2 linked regions of the Cricetulus griseus genome follow. The protein of the gene in region 1 interacts with the protein of each later gene in a pairwise test. Links are inferred from orthologs where the notes say so. Each region holds a gene or a part of one and is shown in the gene's direction. Other genes may lie near its edges.

The links.
Region 2: the proteins of Tmem239 (region 1) and Cxcl16 interact in a two-hybrid assay, tested with the Homo sapiens proteins (2 studies listed by BioGRID). The two-hybrid records come from large-scale screens. The link is inferred for Cricetulus griseus from reciprocal best matches to the Homo sapiens genes TMEM239 and CXCL16.

Annotation. Positions count from the first base shown.
Region 1 is NC_048599.1:48,200,516-48,211,378, reverse strand, and holds Tmem239 (transmembrane protein 239), read left to right. Parts: upstream 1-5,191; 5' UTR 5,192-5,206; coding exon 5,207-5,659; downstream 5,660-10,863. Other genes in the region: CUNH20orf141 (uncharacterized protein C20orf141 homolog), read left to right, coding at 4,037-4,194, 4,282-4,537.
Region 2 is NC_048600.1:84,256,618-84,265,770, reverse strand, and holds Cxcl16 (C-X-C motif chemokine 16), read left to right. Parts: upstream 1-1,614; 5' UTR 1,615-1,757; intron 1,758-1,862; exon of another isoform or gene 1,863-1,967; 5' UTR 1,968-2,062; coding exon 2,063-2,132; intron 2,133-2,393; coding exon 2,394-2,532; intron 2,533-2,780; coding exon 2,781-2,863; intron 2,864-6,776; coding exon 6,777-7,244; intron 7,245-7,459; coding exon 7,460-7,506; 3' UTR 7,507-8,317; downstream 8,318-9,153. Other genes in the region: Zmynd15 (zinc finger MYND domain-containing protein 15), read right to left, coding at 337-910. UniProt on the Homo sapiens protein: Acts as a scavenger receptor on macrophages, which specifically binds to OxLDL (oxidized low density lipoprotein), suggesting that it may be involved in pathophysiology such as atherogenesis. Induces a strong chemotactic response. Induces calcium mobilization.

The DNA of each region.
Region 1 (10,863 bases):
TACACGCCTTTAATCCCAGCACTCAGGAGGCAGGGTCAGGAGGATCTCTGTGAGTTTGAGGCCAGCCTGGTCTCCAGAGCGAGTACGAGGATAGACTCCAAAGCTACACAGAGAAACCCTGTCTCGAAAAACCAAAATGAAGCAGGCAACCTAGGGCTGTACAGGGCATTTGGGGTATATGAGGAGGAACAGGCTGTTTCCTATGATTTTTAGCAACAACACCCATTCTTTCATCTTTGATGCCGGGGTAGGCATTGCTCTCAATAACAATTTTGTCAAGTCCATTTCCTGGCATGACAATGAATTCAGCTACAACTGCAGGGTAGTAGAGCTTATGGTTCACATGTTCTCCATGGAATAAGGAGTCCTGGACCACCCACCAGGAAGAAAATGAAAGGAAGCGAGGCCCTTGGCTGCTGAGGAGTCCCTCTCCCAACTCAGCCTCCAATATACTTAGCATCTCCTGTCATAGTTGTCATCCCAGGCCTCCAGAAGAAGGAGGGCTTAAGAAGCCCTATTCCCTTAAAGTTCACTGCACCAGAAAAAAGGTTTAGAATTATGTTTTTTCTTTTTGAAAACTTTCAAATATTCCTCCTCTGATTTTTACTAACTTTTTTTAAAAAAAAGTTTCTTAGGGGTTTTGTTTATTACTCTACTTTCTGGACAGTTTCCTAAATGACTCCTCCAGGAGTTAGCTGTCATCAATAAACTCCACTGATAACTTTGACCTCCAGTAACTGATCATGGGGCTGCTTCATTTCCAAGCTGTGGGTGACTAAGTAGCCATCTGGGAATCAAAGACTCTCCCTCTTACCCTTTCTCTCAACTCGTGACTCCATCCTATCTTAGTGAATCAGCACTGTCCTGGTGAATCCTACTTCGAATGCCAATGTTTTTCCAGAGTCCCCAAGACGCTTTCTTGTTCAATGGTTTATCAGAAGAATTCACCAAAGTGATTATACTAATGTTCACATAGTGTGATAAAGGTTGCAGGCAGAATAAAACTGACAATAGAAGAATGTACATTAGCAGGGTACAGGAAACAGTGGGTATGAGCTTCCAGTTGTTTATATGAAAATGGACTCAGGGAGCCAGTACTTAATCCTTCCAGAAGTATTCGAGACCACATTCACCAAGTACTGTTAATAAGAAAAATTCACTGGAGTTTTGGTGTCCAGAATTTTATTGGAGATAAGCCATACAAGTATAGTTGACTGCCCATGTTGGTGGACGTTAGTCCAAACCCTCTAGAGGCCAAGGTAATCCTAGTTTCTGGTCTAAGTCCTCAGCAAAAATTACATTGCTGGCATGGACTATTTGATATGGCCTGTGTAAACAGAGACACTTATACTGAATAGGATATTCCAAGGACTTAGAGAATAGCTCCTTAGAGAGCCCAGCAAGAGCCAGCCACTTTTGGGTTTATGAGTTGCTAGAAGAGTGTGTTGGATCCCTTGGAGCTGGAGTTGCACGCAGTTGTGAGCCACCTGGTGTGGGCGCTGGGAACTGAACCCTGGTCCTCTGGAAGAGCAGGAAGAGCTCTTAATCACTAAGAAGCTCTACTCCAGTCCCAAGCCAAATAGTTTTTATGAATAAACATGTCACAAATCCAGATTTGCTGAATCGTTTATTACAAGATTGGCTACCATATGCTGTTAATTCCCCACTGACGTCCCCTTTACCAACAGTGTGCCCACCCCCATTGTTTGCCATTCATAAATTATAGCTGTTTGATTTCTACAGACAAAAGCGCTCAGCAGATAGAAGTTGCTTTCATGCTGAAAGTTACAGTTCTCTAACTTCCCTTCTCTTTCCTCCATGAAAGAGCTATCATCAATGACTGATTGATAAGATGGGACCAACTCTATAGCACAATTCACTGTTCTCAGAGCTATCTGCAAGGTCAGGCTAGACTCCAGACAAGACAATATGCTAGGTTATCCCTTTCTTCTACCCTGTCCTTCTCCTTCCTCATCTCCTAATTATTTTCTTTCTGAGAACAACTCCAAGCCCTCAGTAGAATGTCTGCCTTAGGAGTTATAACCCAACAGTAGATCTGGCACTCAGGGATCAATTTATAAATTATTGTTGGACAAAAAATAAACTGAGAAAACTCCAAGTAGAACTAACTACCCTACAAATTATGCGGAGCACCTTGCACACACTAAATCTTAAGGAGTATTAGCCGCACACCCCATTCCCAACCCCTTGCATTGTGGCTACTTCCTCTCGGTAGAATTGTCGGGACATGACTCTCAATTCCATAGTTCAGCGATGCAATCTTGTGGCTGCACCAGAAATGAACAGACTCATGGAACTGGCAATTGAAAACCTAGATGCTAATTTTCTCATTTGCAAAAACAATTGAGACTTAGACAAAAAAAAAAAAAAAAAAAAAAAAAACAGGATCATCTTCTGTTTCCTATGTCCCCATAGACAAACTTATCTGAAACAAAGTTCCCAGTCAAACAAAAGCCAGTGGAAAGGCAATAGGTAAATAATATTAAGGATAAATGACACTGGCTCTATGGTTTCAAGTCCAACAGCACCAAACATGCCAAGGCCTGGGTCTTTGGGGACGGCTTCCTGGGAGACAGCTGAATGCCCTTCCTATCATTCTCACTCAATCTCTCCTTTTTCTGGGGCTATATTGTCATTGTCTATATTGTCACTGTCTCCCCTACCACACTCCCTTCAGTTTTCCTTCAAAGTATGAGTAACAGTTAAATTTCTAAGTCACTTCTACTCATCTTTTATCACCAAACTGTCCATGTACTTAATAGCTCTGCAACCACTCCCATTTCATAGATTCATTCAGTGGGAACACATTTATTCTCATTGAATAATAGTAACCAGCAATTGTGACCATAAATTTATTCCATGTTCATTCCTTAATTTCATTCTTAAACTGCAGCCCTAACTTCCTATTTGGAGTTTTTTGTGAGGCACAGTACTGCACGCCTGCAATCCTAGCACTCAGGATGTAGAGGCAGAGACTCACTGAGAGTTAGAGAGCACCTTGCATTACACGGCAATTTCAAGGCCAGCCTGGAAGGCATGAACAAACCCTAACTCAGAATAACTTGAGGTCACAATGTTGTAAGCCTCTTAGGTTCATAACCTCTATCTTTTTTTTTTTTCAAGTTTCTCTGAGCAGCATCTCACTATATAGTCCAGGCTGGCCTTAAACTCTCAATCTTCTTGCCTCCGCCTTCTGAGTGCTGAAATTAAGGCATAAGATACCATATCCAGCTCTCTGTCCCATTTCTGAAGTTATAACATCTCCCCAAACTGCAGTGCTTAAGACATCCAATGGCATCCTCCTGCCACCCATAGCCTAGCTTACCCATTGGAAAAGCCTATTCTGCACCCCAGAGTTGGAGACCTAACTCCCCCACTACCCCCCCCAGGGCCTTACCCCACATTCAGGGAAGAGAAATGGGTACAGAAAAAATTAAATGGCTGAATGGCATCCCAGACACCCAGCCTGAGAACTTCCAGGAGGAAGCAGCCTCTCCTCCCTTGGCAGGAGTCCAAATAGTCATGCTGCTAGCATGCTTTCCTGACAAAGCCTGAAGCCATGGGAAGTCCCCCGGGGCAGAGAATTACTTGCCATGGCAATAACTAAGGGTGAGTACTAGCTAAGCGCTACCTAGGCTACCAGTGTTTATGAGGCAAGACAAACTGTTATCCTGTCCTTAACTCAAGGCACTGCCTGGGAATAAGTCACAATGCCCCAGGTGTCCAAATCCAGAATGGTCGGCCCAAGTGGGAGGAGGTGAGGAGGGTTTGGTGAAGATAGAGTGAGAGTTGGGGGTGGGGGCATCCACAAAGGGCCCAGTTCCCTATTCTCTGAGCTCACCCTTGAGTGTAAACCAGGGTCCTCCTTCCCCCTGATTCTTAATCTCCTAGCACTAGCTCCTCCTAATACCTCCAGCCCCAGTTCTGCTCGTCCATCCCCAAAGCCTTTATAGATTCCATATTATCCCTCCCAGCAGTCTGGATACTGGAGAGTGGTTGAGTAGGTCAGTGAGCCATGTGTGTCCCCTGGGACTTCAGCCAGGCCCAGCTCCTGGACAGTATCCTAGGGCTGGGGGCACTAGGAGTGACAATTGGAACAGTCTTCTCGAAAGCTGGCCTAGCCCTGCTGCTCCTGCTGCTGGCCAGCTTCCTTGCTTTTGACCTGCTCCATGGGTAAGTGGCAGCAGCCTGCCAGGTGGGTGTCACAAGCACAGAGTCAGATGAGCAATTGCCTTGAGCTGGCATCTTCTCTCTCCACAGGTCCACAGGTCCCATCCTGCCAAGACACAGACTTCTCCCGATGGGTCAGAGCCAGGGGGCTGGTGAAGGTCCGGGACAGCAGGCAGCTCCCCTCTTTCCAACAGGGATAGTCTCAGGACTACTCAGCCTCCAGGATGCCCTGTTCCTGCTGTTCCTGGGCCTGGGCCTATTCTTGGGAGGCTCTGGTATACCCTTAGCCCTGCTGGGCCTTGCTTTCTGCCTCCATCCTTGGGACCGAGGGCCCTCAGAAAACTGAATGCCTTCTAAAAATACATCGCCCATTCTGCTTCCCCGGCTCTCCTCTCTTCTATCCTGAGTTACAGAGGTTGTGGTGTAAGGGTAGAATACACTATTGTGTCAGCTTGAACCTCAGAGGCCTCTAGTTCCATAATATGGACATTTGAGAACTGGGTCTGAGGCTTAGGGTGATAAGAGAAGGCAGAGAAAAGGGTGGACACAACAACCAACTCCAGTCCTGCAGTTGGAGGTAGCCATCAAGAAGGGACGGGAGTGGGGAAGGGTTCCTACAAGCAAGAAGAATGGTATCTGGGAGGCTTGCTGAGCTCTCCTGCCAGCCTGGAAGGTCCGTAGTGAGGGACTCAAGTGAGTCTCACACTATGCTGCAGTAGCTCTTCTCTCAGCTGGGCCCCGCCCCAGCCCAGGTCACAATGGACTCCTCTGAGGATGGTGGAGTGAGTGAGGGTGAGCCTGGGACCTGGCTGCCAGGCCAGCCTGGGCACAACAGGAAACATCATGACTTAGGTGGCTCTGACCAAAGGTAAGTCCTAGGCCCCAGTTCAAAGCCCAATCCTGCCCGTGCTGGTATCCTCCTGACCCCTGCAACCCCACCTATCCAGAGATCCTGGGCATCTCCAGGGCTGCTCCTGCAGCTGGCCTGGCCCTGTCCACAGGTGCACCAGCCGTGATGCAGCAGCCACGAGTGGAGACGGATATCATCGGGGCTGGCGAGGGGCCCCAGCGGGCAGTGCCCTGGTCAGCCTGGGTCACCCGTCAGGACTGGGTGCGATGGTGGGCATGCCACATGCCCCGGAGCTGGTCCCAGTGGTGGAATACATCAGGCTGGCGGCAACCTCTACAGCGTATGCTATGGGGTCTGGAGGGGACACTCTACCTGCTGCTCGCACTGATGCTATGCCATGCACTCTTCACCACTGGCTCCCACCTGCTGAGCTCCCTGTGGCCTGTGGTGGCTGTGGTATGGAGCCACCTGCTGCCAGCTATCCTGCTGCTGGTACTCAGTGCCATGCCTGCTCTGCTCTTCGCTGCCTCCTTCCTGCTGCTCTTCTCCACACTGCTGAGCCTCGTGGGCCTCCTTACCTCCATGACTCACCCAGGCTATGCCCAGGACTTGGACTAATAGAAGGGCAACCCCATCTTATTGCCTGTGTCTGTTGAGCCCTGGCCAAGGTCTGAGCCCTGTGGGGAACGTCAACAGACCTCAGACCCCCAATCACAAGCACAGGTGGAGGTCTGGCTTCTGGGAATCTACCTTAAACCCATGTTGGTGTCGGGGACAGGACAAATGGTTCAGCCAGGGCCAAGATCTTGGTCAAACCACTGAGAACACCTGTACAGATGTGGTAGCAACACTTGGTCTCCCAGGCAGCATCTTTTTATCATACCTCCCAGCCCTCCCTGCTTCAGGCTTCCTGAGAGTTTACACCTATATATCCCTGGTCTCATCACTCTGTGTGGATTTGTCATGGATCCTCTGCTTCCAGAAGGAGCATAGACTCTGGGAAAGAACCTTACTGAAAGATAGACAGGGGTGGTCCTGGTCCAAAACCCTGGTGACCTCACCTCAATCACCTCCCAGAAACAGGAAATAGACCAATCATCATAGTGAGGTGTGTGTGTGTGTGTGTGTGTGTGTGTGTGTGTGTGTGTGTGTGTGTGTGTGTGTACACATGCTAGAGAATGAATCAAGGCTTTGTACGTAAGCATACACTCCACCCTACATACATACAGAGCCTCCAGATCTGTTAGGAAAGAACAAGTCCCATTTCAGACACCTACACTTTGGCCAATTCATTATTTTTGAATCTCATTGTTAAGTGGGTCCCATTCTTTTCATGGGACTGTTATGATCCAAAGTCAGTATCTATTTGCAAAATACTTTGGGTTTTTGTTGTTGTTTTTGTTTTCATTTTGAAACAGGGTCTCATGAAGTCCAGGATGGCTTTGAACTCACTATTTAACTGAGGATGACTCTGAACTTCTGATCTATTGCCTCTACCTCCAGAGTACTGGGATTAAAACTTGTGCCACAATGCTTGGTTTTATGAAAAGTACTTTGTAAGGCCAAAAAGCAGTTAAGATGTTTTGGCTCCAAGAACATTCTACAAGCGCAAAAAGCCTTTCAATCCAGAAGTTAAGATGATGAAGCAAGTTTCTTTAGAATTCCAGAGAAATTCTGTCGTGGATAGAATCTCAGCCCTAAAATAGTTAACACAGAATAGATGGTGTGGATGAAATGTAAAAGGTTGTGTCATACAACCTCAAACTAGGCAGATATTGAACTATACTGGTTGTGCAATGCTTGAGGTTGTAGCCAGGAAATGCTTGCAAAGCTGTGTGAGTAGGGAAGTAATAGCTCAGGGATTTCCAAAATTGATCAAGCAAGTTGTTTACATCCCAGAAGGTTTTGGATCATCCATAAGTCCTCAGAGTCTGGCCATTTACCTATCTGCTGACCCCTCCAACCAAAATGTTGAGTATCAGTTACCAAATAAAGTGACAGACATGTTAGATAATTTGCCAGGGCCCAGCTAACAGTCTTTATCCACACCCACCCCTTCCCATTTCCTCCTGCTTCCCAATTCCTTATCTGTTTTTTAATTTTTATTTTTAATTTCTCATATTTACATATCCATCCCCCCATTCCCTCACCCTCCCATGTTCTTCACCCAACCCACCCCAACCTACTCCCCGACTCCTCTCCAGGGATAGTGAGGCCCTCTACCAAGGACCTTCAAAGTCTGTCATATTGTTTGGGGGAAAGTCTAGACCCTCGTTGCTGTATCTGGGCTGCAATAGTATCCCTCCATAGGGAGTGGGCTCCCAAAGACCATTTGTGCTCTAGGGATAAAGACTGGCTATGCTGTCAGAGGAGCCATAGACTGTCTTGGGCTCCTAGCTGGTAGCCACATTCAGAGAGTTTGGTTTGGTCCAATGCTATTTCCCCAGATTTATGACTAGGATCTCCATTCTATCAGTAGGTCAGGTCCACTGTTTCTGCAGGTCTCTCCATCCCCGTCTTGGCTCCTTTGCTCAACCCTCCTCCCTCTCCACAACTGAATTCCAGTAGTATGGTTCAGTGCTTAGCTATGGGTGTCTGTTTCTGCTTAGAACAGCAACTGGATGAAGACTCTCCTTCCTTTTCCTGCCCTGGGCTCCAATTTTGTCAGGGGTTCTTGTCCCCATCCCCTTCTTCGAGGGACTATGCAATCTTCTCTTGGGTTCCTCCTTGTTTCCTAGCTCCTCTGGCAGTGTGGAATTTAGGCTAGTGATCCTTTGCTCTATGTCTAAAAATCAAAAATGAGTGAGTATATACCATGTTTATCTTTTTGTGATTGGGTTACCTAACTGAGTATGGTTTCTTCTAGTTCCATCAATTTGCCTGCAAATTTCAGGATTTCATTGTTTTTTTTTTCCACTGAGTAGTACTCCATTGTATAAATATACCACATTTTTTTCTATCCATTCTTCAGTTGAGGGGCATCTAGGTTCTTTCCGGGTTCTGGCTATTACAAATAATGCTGCTATGAACATAGTTGAACATATGTCCTTATTGTATGAGTGTGCATTCTTTGGGTATATGCCCAAGAGAGAGATTGCTGGATCTTGAGGTAGACTGATTTCCATTTTCCTGAGAAACTGCCATATTGCTTTCCAAAGTGGCTGTACAAGTTTACTTCCACCAGCAATGGAAGAGAGTTCCTCTTTCTCCATATCCTCTCCAGCATAGATTGTCATTTGTTATTGATTTTAGCCATTCTGACAGGAGTAAGATGGTATCTCAGAGTGGTTTTGAGTTGCATTTCCCTGATGGCTAAGGATGTTGAGCACTTTCTCAAGTGTCTTTCAACCATTTTGGATTCCTCTGTTGAGAATTCTCTATTAAGTTCTGCACTCCATCTTTTAGTTGTGTTGTTTGGTGTTTTGGTGGGCAGCTTCTTGAATTCATGTATATTTTTGTGATCAGCCCTCTGTCAGATGTGGGGTTGGTGAATATCTTTTCCCATTTTGTGGGCTGGCGTTTTGACTTGCTGACTGTCTCCTTGGCTTTACAGAAGCTTCTCAGTTTCAGGAGGTCCCATTTATTAATTGTCCATCTCAATGTCTGTGCTACTGGTGTAATGTTCAGAAAGCAGTCTCCTGCACCAATTTGTTCAAGGGTGCCACCTACCTTCTCTTCAAGGAGGTTCAGTGTGGCTGAATTTATGTTGAGGTCTTTGATCCATTTGGATTTAAGTTTAGTGCATGACGATAGATATGGATCCATCTGTAATCTTCTACATGTCTGAATCCAGTTATGCCAGCACCATTTGTTGAAGATGCTTTCTTTCTTCCATTGTATAAATTTAGCTTCTTTGTCAAAAATCAGGTGTTCATAGGTGTGTGGGTTAATATCAGGGTTTTCAATTCGATTCCATTGGTCAACCTGTCTATTTTTGTGTCAATACCAAGCTGTTTTCAGGATTATGACTGTATAATAGAGCTTGAAGTCAGGGATGGTGATGCCTCCGGAAATTTCTTTATTGTACAGGGTTGTTTTGGCTATCCTGTTTTTTTTTTCATATGAAGTTGAGTTTTGTTCTTTCAAGGTCTGTGAAGAATTGTGTTGGGATTTTGACGGGAATTGCATTGAATCTGTAGATTGCTTTTGGCAGGATTGCCATTTTTACTATGTTGATCCTACCCATCCAAGAGCATGAGAGATCTTTCCATTTTCTGGTATATTCTTTAATTTCTTTCTTTAAATACTCAAACTTCTTACTATACAGGTCTTTCTCGTTTTTGGTTAGTGTTACCCCAAGACGTTTTATGTTGTTAGTTGCTATGTGAAAGGTGATGTTTCTCTGGTTTCTTTCTCAGCACATTCATCTTCTGTATATAGTAAGGCTACTGATTTTTTTTGAGTTAATCTTGTATCCTGCCACTTTGGTGAAGGTGTTTATCAGATGTAGGAGTTCCCTGGTAGAGTTTTCCGGTTCACTTATGTAAACTATCATATCATCTGCAAATAGTGAAAGTTTGACTTCTTCCTTTCCAATTTGTATCCCCTTGATCTCCTTTTGTTGTCTTATTGCTCTAGCTAGGACTTCAAGTACAATATTGAAGAGATATGAAGAGAGTCGACAGCCTTGTTTTGTTCCTGATTTTAGAGGAATAGCCTTGAGTTTCTCTCTGTTTAGTTTGATGTTGGCTGTTGGTTTGCTGTATATTGCTTTTATCATGTTTAGATATGTTCCTGTTATTCCTGATCTCTCCAAGACCTTTATCATGAAGGGATGTTGGATTTTGTCAAAGGTTTTTTCAGCATCTAGTGAGATGATCATGTGGTTTTTCTTTTCCTTTTTTGTTTATATGGTGGATTACATTGATGTATTTTAGTATGTTGTACCATCCCTGCATTCCTGGGATAAAGCTACCTTGATCATGGTCGATGATTTCTCTGATGTGTTTTTGGATTCGATTTGCCAGTATTTTGTTGAATATTTTTGCGTCGATGTTCAAGAGGGATATTGGTCTATAATTCTCTTTTTTTTGTTTTGTCTTTGTGTGGCTTGGGTACCCAGGTAATTGAAGCCTCATAAAAAGAGCTTGGCAATGTCCCTTCTGTTTCTATTGTGTGGAACAATTTGAGGAGTACTGATATTGGCTCTCCTTTGAATTTCTTGTAGAATTCTGTAGTGAATCCATCTGGGCCTGGGCTTTTTTTTTTTGGTTGGTAGACTTTTGATGACTGCTTCTATTTCATTAGGGGTTATAGGTCTGTTTAACTTGCTTATCTGTTCTTGATTTAATTGTGGTAAGTGATATCTATCCAGAAAATTGTCCATTTCCTTTAGATTTTCGAATTTTGTGGAGTACAGGTTTTCAAAGTATGACCTGATGACTCCCTGGATTTCCTCAATGTTCGTTGTTGTGTCCCCCTTTTCATTTCTGATTTTGTTAATTAGCATGCTCTCTCTCTGCCTTTTGGTTAGTTTGGATAGAGGTTTGTCTATCTTGTTACTTTCTCGAAGAACCAACTCTTTGTTTCATTGAGTCTTTGTAGTGTTTTTCTAGTTTCTACTTTACTGATTTCAGCCCTCAGTTTGATTATTTCCTGGTGTCTATTCCTTCAGGCAGTGCTTGCTTCCTTTTGTTCTAGAGCTTTCAGTTGTGCTGTTAATTCTCTAGTGTGACTATTCTCCAGTTTCTTCATGTAGGCACTTAGTGCTATGAACTTTCCTCTTAGCACTGCTTTCAAAGTGTCCCATAGGTTTGGGTATGTTCATTCTCATTGAATTCTAGGAAGTCTTTAATTTCTTTTTTTATTTCTTCCTTGACCCA
Region 2 (9,153 bases), on another chromosome or scaffold:
GCCTGCAGAGGGCAGAAGCGGGTGTTGGATCCCCTTGGAAAGGGAGTTACAGGTGGTCATGAGCCACCATGTGGGTGCTGGGGATTGAACCTGGAACCTCTGGAAGAGCAGTCAATGCTCCTAACCTCTGAGCCATCTCTCCAGCCCTGGTTTTTCTTAAGATGCAAGGCCTCTGGACTTTCATTCTTTACAGTGCTTAGATGTTGATTCAAATTAAAAAACAAAGTCACATTGTGGCAACATATTTTGTGACTCCTAATTGGGTTTGAGTGACATGAGAGGAATTCAGAAAGGTGTCTGGACAGGGGATAGGGCAGGGCCACCCTGGGTTCTCACCACTCCTCCGTCCTTTCCTCTTTTCAGGAGCTCTCTCATCCTCTCCTCTGTCTTCTCGGCAGCCATCCTCACAGCTTGCCTCTTGCTGGGTCACCTCTGACTCGGCTGGTGGCTTTGCTTCTTGGGGTAATTCCCTGCTTGGAGGGGCTGGCTCCCCACCCTCCTGTGGTTCTGCCTTCTCAGTGCCTGAGCTCTCCTTTCCATTCTCTTGTTCATCTTCTTCCTCCTCCCCTTCCTCCCCATCCTCTAGGCTGACAAAACTGACGTAAGGACTCAGGTCTCTAAGGTGGAGTGGAGGCTCATCTCCCAAGAGCCGGGAAGCCCCCAGGCCTGGCCCAGGACCTGGCTCAGCACCTTGCCCCAGGCTGATGCCCACACTACGGTTTGGTAAGACGTGGAGCACCCAGAGGGCAGGGTCTTGGGGCAGCCTCCTTATCTGAGCCTCCAGTTGACGCCATCGGCCCTCAAGGTTGGTTCCCATGGTCCCCTTTTCTGTCACGAACTTGCGGAACCAGCCAAAGAGAAGGGCAGCGAAATCAAGGAACTCGTCCCGGTATCCAGACACAAACTCCATGTCTTCAGATGCACAGGGAGGGCCTGGACCCAGACTGAGCAGAAAGGGATGTATGTATGGTAACGGTCAGGTTTGGGCCGAGTCACAAAAGGGAGAAGGGGGGTGGGCTTCAGGTCAATCTATAGAGGAATCTCAGGAGCTCAGAACAGGATTTGCAGGGATAACGATGGAGGGAGGCTAGATTGGAAAGCGGATATTTAAAGGTGAGTGACGAAATCATAGCTGAGATACAAAACTCAGATCCTAAAGTGGGATTTGAATTAAGGGAAGACACAGGGTAAAGTTAATCCTATGGGGAAAGGTTTGCTAAGAAGGGAAAGTTTTGGGGGTCTGTTGGTCTGTGGGAATAGAAGTTAGAGTTAAGAACTGAGGCATCTCTTGATTGAGGATCAGTTTGGTGTGAGCCCCAATAAGCCCACCCTCTTTCTGGCCGCTCCTCTCCTCCGGTACCTGCAGCCGCCACCACTTTTCGAAGGTAAATACCTCGTGCAGGAGGACCGTCGTGACGTCAGGGCTGCCCGAGGCTCATAACTTGGGTGGCACGCCCGCTTAGGGCATCTGGCTGCACCCGGCCAGTGCTTTCACCTTGGCCATGTGACTGGATCCACAGTAACCCCTCGGACCAGGGAAGTGAAAGCATCTTGGAGCAGGAGGGAGGATCCAGCAAGTCATCTACTTTACAAACCAACAGACAGACAGGCGACCACCGGAGTGTTGACATCCCCAACTCAACCGAGTCATTCTTCCGGGGGTACTGCTTGCCCTCTCGGATTCCTCGGGCTCCACAGCCCGAGCTTCCTTTCGGTTTTGTCTTGGCTGCCCTCCCACCCCCACTCCCAGCCTGGACGTGAGTCTGGAGTCGGGTGAAGGAGCTCCTCCTTCAGGGGGTTCCCCTACGTGGGAGCTGGGCGCAGCGCAGGCTCCCGGCTACTGACCAGGCAGGCGGGCGGGCGGGCGGGCGGTTCAGGGCAGCGCGCGGGGACCGAGGGGAGGGACGGCACCGCTACCTCGCGCCCTGTCCCGCCTGAGCTTGGCACCGACCGCAGTGCCTCTGCAGAACCTTTGGCAGTCGGGGTGAAGAATCGAAAGCAAGCGGATCAGCTGGATGTCGGCTAAGTGGCTTGGCAACCACAAGCTCCGCAGAGTCCGGAGATGAGGCAGAGCTTCGGACTCCTGCCCCGAGTGCTCTTTCTCTTCTTGCTGGCTCTGCTGACCCAGCCAGGTTAGTCGTGGGGAGGGGCTGGGACCAGAATGGAAACTGGAGGGGCACAAGAACTCAGATTAAGAACTCAGCCCAGAGCTGCCAAAGGCAGCAGCCAGGACTAGGGGAAGGCTGTCAGGGGTTGGACTGGGGACCTCTGGGCCCAGGTGGCTTTACACTGGGGTGGGAAGTAGGTCTGGCGGGTAGGGAAGGCTGAGTCAGACAGCTGGGTTGGAAGCCAAGGAGTCCGAGCACCAGGGCTGATCCCTCTTTCCGCTTTAGGTGATGGCAACCAGGGCAGTGCCACTGGGAGCTGTTCCTGTGGTAAGACAATTGCTCCTGGCACCCTGGTACCGCCTGCTACCTTGACTCATATCCGAAAACACCTGAAAGCATACGATCGCTGTCCGTTCCTCATCAGGTACTGTCTCATCCGTTCGTCCATCCGTCCGTCTGACCCCCACCCTCCGGCCCCCGGGAGTTACAGGACCATCACAACCTGAACACCCAGTCCGGATGGGGGAGCCTAGCTCCTTACTAGTTTCACTTATCTGGGGATTTCCAGTCCTAATAGTGCCTACTTACCTTGGGTGACTTCACACCTTTGGAATGAGGAAAAGTAGGGAGGGGAAGGAGTGATCATAGGAGACTAGATTGATCCTCTTACAGGTTCCACTTAAAGTCCACGAGTGTGTGTGGGAGAAAGCAAGACCAGTGGGTCCGTGAAGTGATAAGCTGCTTTGAGAACAAAGGTGAGAGCCTCTTCTGTCCTCCAGTGGGCCACGTCTTATAATCTCCTTTGCCTCTGCCACACCACACAGCACTTTCCTATTTAGAAGCTTCTAACTGGCTTGAAATACTTTCACTAAAGTTTGTGTCTTCTCAATGTCCCTGTCATCTTCCTGGTTTCAGCCAATTTGTTCTACCACACATGCCATTACTTAATATTTTCTTTTTTATTTCATGTGCATTCATATTTTGTGTACATGTATGTCTGTGTGGAGGTGTTGAATCCCCTTTAACTGGAGTTAACGCAGTTGTGAGCTGCCATGTGGGTGCTGGGAATTGGATCCAGGTTCTCTGGAAGAACAGCCAGTACTCTTAAGTATTGAGCCATCTCTCCAGCCCTACTTAATATTTTCTTGAAATTATAATATAAAGTGTACTTGAGATTGGTCATGTGTTCTAACATTTAACTGTCACCCTGCATTTTAGACAGTTTCAGACAGGGTTTGGCTAAGTTGGCCAGGATGGGCTTGAACTTGGTTTTTTTTTTTTTTTTTAATGTGTAAAAATTACCTTTATTGCTGGGATGGAGGATCTTAGCCTGAATAAGATTGACCCTCAGAATGCACAAGGTACTGGGTAGAATGGGCCTTACCTTGAAGGAAAATGTGAGTGCTCAGAAGCTGAGACAACCCCCAAGAGTGGCTTGAGGCAAGAATGCCTATTCTTTCCAAATTTAGGAATTAGTTAACTGACTTCCCATCTTGAGAATCAGTAGGAGGAAAGGGAAGAAGGGAAACTGAGTGGGGACCTTAGAGTAAAATCCTTAGTGGCAAAAGAAGTGGTCAGTTCTCTTTTCATATTTTTTTAAAAAAATAATGGACCATAGTATTTTTTAAGTCACATAAAGTGAATACCCAAGCAAAGGCTGCAATGGAATGTGGTTTCTTTTTTCTTTTCTTCCCCCCCCCCCAACAAGACAGGGCTTTGGACCCTGTCCTAGAACTAGCTCTTGTAGACCAGGCTGGTCTGGAACTCACAGAGATCTGCCTGCTTCTGCCTCCCAAGTGCTGGGGTTAAAGGCGTGCGCCACCATCTTCTGGCTAGGAGTGTGGTTTCTTGGGTATCAAACTACTACACAGCAGGGTTAGTGTGGTAGGGCTCAGTGAGACTGCTGCCCATAGAAGGCTCTGCTGGCTGCGTGGTCCTTGGGTGGCGTCTGGGAACAGAGTTGATGAAAGCTCCTCATTGTGTCTAAACTGTGTGCACAGTATTCACTTTACTTCTTGCAGTCTAGAGTTTCCATATGTGTTAAACAGAGAATGCTTGCATGACCGTTCCCAGGTGAAAACTCTGGGGAGTGAGGTTACTGAGCTTCCTTTAGTTCATCCCTGCTCACATTATACGCCCCAAGGTTCCCTACTGGGAGCACTTCAGGAGTGTCTGCCAGGTCTTCTCTGCCCTTTGTCCACAGGAGATTCCTCTGCTGACTTTGTTTTGTGTCATTTTTGTTGTGACAACTCTTAGTTGTGGCTGCTGAGGCCAAAGAATCTCCCTAAAGAATCACTGAGCTGACAGTAGTCTAGTGGACTCTGACACCGGGTAACTCTGTGGTAGCTGAGTGTGGGCAGCCCATAGCGCCTGCTTCATTTTCCTCCCATGTCCACCTCTGGACCCGATGCCATTCTTTCTTAGATGAAGGACACTGGTGTCTTCTGTAAGAGCTATTTCAAAGGTGGAGAGTTGAAAACAGAATGTAAGGCAGGCTCCCACTCATCTTAACTCAATTTCAGCTCAGCACCCTGAGTATTGGGAGAAGCACTCCATCGTGGACTCTGAACACCCTTGAGTTCTTTTTTTAACTTGTTCTTATTGAGCTATACATTTTCCCCCATCCCCCTTCCCTTATCCTCTCAACTCAGTCTTGAACTTATCATCCTCCTGCCTCAACCTCTCTAGTAGCTGGGATAACAGGTCTCTATGACAGGTTTGGCTTTCACTATTGTACTTTCATTGAAATCACTTGAAGGTACTATTTTCATTTTTTAATAATTAATGATGAAAATAAACATTACAGTTGAAAGAATTTACCCAGGTGTGGTGGTGAACACCTCTAACCCCAGCATTCTGGGAGGCAGAGGCAGGTGGAGCTCTGTGAATCTGAGGCCAACCTGGTCTACATAATGATTTTCAGGATAGTCAGGGCTACATATAGACAATAAAACAAAACAAAAAAGTTGAAAGAATTATACATTGAACAGCCTCTATGGACATCAACTACATTCTACAATATTTGATTTGCAGTTTCATATTTATTTATTTATATAATAAAGCAAATATGAAATCAGTAATATTTACAATATTGGTTCTACAGCATTTTACTACATTTGCATTATTGCAAACTGATTGTGTTATCTATCCATCATCAATCTTACTGCTCTTTTTAATTTTTTCTTTTTTGGCCTTGAAGTGATCCTCACAAGTGCTGGGATTACAGGCATGCACCACCACTCTCCATTTCAATTTACCTTTTTTAAAAACTTTTTTTCAACATAAATTGCAGATATTATTGTATTTAATCCCCAAACATTTCAGCATGTATTTTACTGAGTTCAATTTTTGTTTTGTTTGCTTAAGACAACGTTTCTCTATGTAGCCTTGGCTGTCCTGGAACTCGCTCTATAGACCAGGCTGGCCTTGAACTCATAGACTCATCTGCCTGCTTCTGCTTCCCTGAGCCACTGAGATTAAAGACCCAACTCTGGGTTCAATATTTTATTGTTCTTTTGTTCTTTCAAGATTAAAAAGAAAAAACTCAATTAAATGAATAGATCTTAAGTATGCATAAGCCAGTTTTCAAACAAATTACTTAATAGCTTGTATGTTTCTTGTATGGTAGCATACACCTTTAAGCCCAGATGGATCTCTGAGTTCGAGGCCAGCCTGATCTACAGAGCAAGTTCCAGGACAGCCAGGGATACACAGAGAAACCTTGTCTTCAATTAAAAACAAAAAAGATACAACTCTTAAAATATGAAATGTTCTTCAATAGTCTACCTGGTTATTAGTGGTACCCACACTGCCTTTCAAGCTATGGAGACCTACATTGTTTCCTTCAACTCTCCCAGATACCCTGGGCCTTGTTACCATGACAAGAGTCCCAGAACAGCTATAGATGATGGGTAAAGTACTCTAGGGTTCAATGCAATGTAGCACACCTGCCTTGCCCTGTGACTGCATCTTGTAGTTTGTGAACTTCCTTGTCCCTGTCTGTCCCTCTGCCACTGTCTTCCTCCCACGGCCTTCAGCTGCCCTGCTCCAAATCTCTTTTTGCACAGTATGGGGAATGAATCCAGGGCCTTGCCTCATACATGCTAGGCAAGAACGCTGCCACTGAGTCATATACACAGTTCTTCAGTTGTCCCCTGGATGCTCCCCATCCCCTCCCTCTGCTGGGCTCAGAACATGATACTCAAATAGGGGATTTTAGCAGCTGAGAGATCCAACAAAGCAAATCACTCTGACTTTCCTCCACCTTTCTCTGTGCCAGCTGGCCACAAAGGAACTAGAACTGAGGCATAATAAATACTTTCATGCTATAGGAGCCCTGGCCAGGACTCGGAGGCCCAAAAGAATCTGGCAAGGCCTTACTGGTCCCCTCCCTGTTGCCCTGGGGTGGGGGTGGGGACAGGAGATTTAATCCAGGGTCTTGTACATGCTACACCCCAGCCTACCCCTTGTTCATTACCACTAACCAGAACCCTTCCTGCCCAATCCTATTTCTACACGCTGTCCATTCCTTATCCAGTCTAAGCACAGTAGAATAGGTTCCTGCATCCCATCAACTTGTTCTGCTTTTCTCATTAATCTGAAGACAGGTGAGGAAGATATTCTCCAGCTGTTCCTGTAGCCCTGATCCTTTATTTGTTTTCTCTCCAGAGTGTGGACATGGCCACGGGAAGAGTCTCCCCCACCAGGAGCCTTTGCCTCACGCTAGCACCCAGATCCCCGTGACCACAGAGGGGACACCTCCAGACACAAGCACCCCTGCACAGATTCAGAGTACCCACCAGTCCACTTTTCCATCTGGTGCACTGTCCTTGAACAAAGAGCTCACCCCCCACAGTGAAACCACTGCTGTCACTTCAGGCTATGAAACCACTGCTGTCACTTCGGGCTATGAAACCACTGCTGTCACTTCAGGCTGCGATCCAGAAGCTAGACCTAAGGCTAAGGCAAATAAAAAACAGCAAGAGAACAAACAGCAAAAAGAAAAACCAGAATCTTCAGCTGGCACACCAGGCTTGGTACCAGTGCTGTCCCTCCTGGTCATTGTTTTCTTTCTCACAGCAGCCGTGGTCTATATGCTGTGCACCAGGAGGAGAGTGAGGCAGCAGCGTTCTGCAGGTAAATGAGACTCCGAAACCTCACCTCAGGGACCCAGAGCCAGACTGCTAACAGAGGCACACAAATAGTAAGGCTGTGAGGGACGAGTCAGCCAGCGTGTACTAGGTCTTAAGGTTAATTAATGTCTGGGAGTCTGATTCCCCAATTCAGTTCATGTCCTGCCTCAGTTCTCCTTCATCTCAGAGTTCATCTACAAATTTCTTTATCCTTTCCAGATCTGCAGCTCCGTTATGCACCTGTAAACCAAGACTCCAGAGCCTGAAACAAGAATGGAAGCTTGGGAGAAGGCTCAGGAGACGGCAGTAGACTGTGTTCTATCAACCAACTGTCCCTTCGTTCATTCTCCCTTAAACTGAGACAAAGCACTCATCTCATAATCCAGGACAGCTTTGAGTTACTCATTCTCATTCTCTAGGTTCTGGGATCACAGACATATGACGAATCTGCCCTAATTTACCTCTGTAAATAATGTATACATTTTTTAGAGTTTTGTTTAGCCTGCCTCAAATTCTTATGTATCTGAGGTTGACTACTGATCCTTCTGCCTCCACTTCCATAGTGCTGGAATTACACACTTGCTAAACAGCTTTTATTTTATTTTATTTTTTGAGACAGATTTCACTATTCAGTCCTGGCTTTACAGTGTTGGGATTAAAGGACTGTACCTGGCCCTTGAGAAACACTCTTTTGTTTTGGGGGTTTATTTGGTTTGGTTTTTTGAGATAGAGTTTCTCTTTGTAACAGCCTTGGCTGTCCTGAAATTCACTTTGTACACCAGGCTGACCTCAAACTCACAGAGATCCACCTGCCTCTGCCTCCTGAGTGCTGGAATTAAAGGTGTGTACTACTTTTAATGATTAATAATATATGAGTAGCCCCACTGCCCTTAGTCCTCTCCCCTGTGGCTAATAAAATGTAATACTCTAAATTATGTGGTCTAAAAGTACGGTCCCTTTGTAGAGTGCCTGCCTCACATGTGTAAAATTCTAGGTTCAGTCCTCTCACTATGGATACATTAATTTTTAAAAATGTCTGTTTTATACATTGTATAGCAATAAACTGGACAAATTCTATGTTTTTACCTATAATACTAAAAATTGCTTTTAGAGTTAGTGGCTGAGGGTTGGAGGGATGACCCAGCAGTTTAGAGCAATAGTTCTTTGCAGAGGACTCGTGTGCTGGACACCACCATATTGTAACTCCAGTACCTGGGGATCTGATAACCCTTCTCTGACCTCTACAGGCACCAGGTATGCACATATACATACAAAAGCAAACCATTACTCAGCCACATAAATCTAACTTTTTTTTTTTTTTTTAACAACTATTGACTTCTGCAGACACCGGCTTCAGTCTTTGTCCCCTTAGAAGTGCTGATGGCGTCCCCAGGCCACAAGTTCCCTTCCCACTACACCAGCTGTTCTCTAATCCCACACTGAAAGCTTAGGCTGTCTTCTCTCCCTTGTTAGCAGCTGCTGTGCTGATTGATTCACTGATTCTGTACAGGCCGGACTCACTTCCTCAATCTCCTGGATCACTCATATACACCCAGAGAAAGAGTATGATCTCCATTAAAAAAAAAAAAAAAAGTTACAGCTTTTATTATTAAAACACAGTTCCTATTTTTGTTTCTTCTGAAGAGGAACAACGCTTCTCTCTCCCTCTCTCTCTCTCTTTTTTTTTTTTTTTTTTTGGTTTTTTGAGACACGGTTTCTCTGTGTAGCCCTGGCTGTCATGGAACTCGCTCTGTAAACCAGGCTGGCCTCAAATGCACAGAGATCTGCCTGCCTCTGCTTCCTGAGTGCTGGGACAAAGCCACCGTCAGGCTCCACAACTCTTTTTGAGGAAGACTCCTGCTATGTACTTAGCCCCAGTTGGTCTCAAACTGTAGCAATGTTCCTACCTCCCC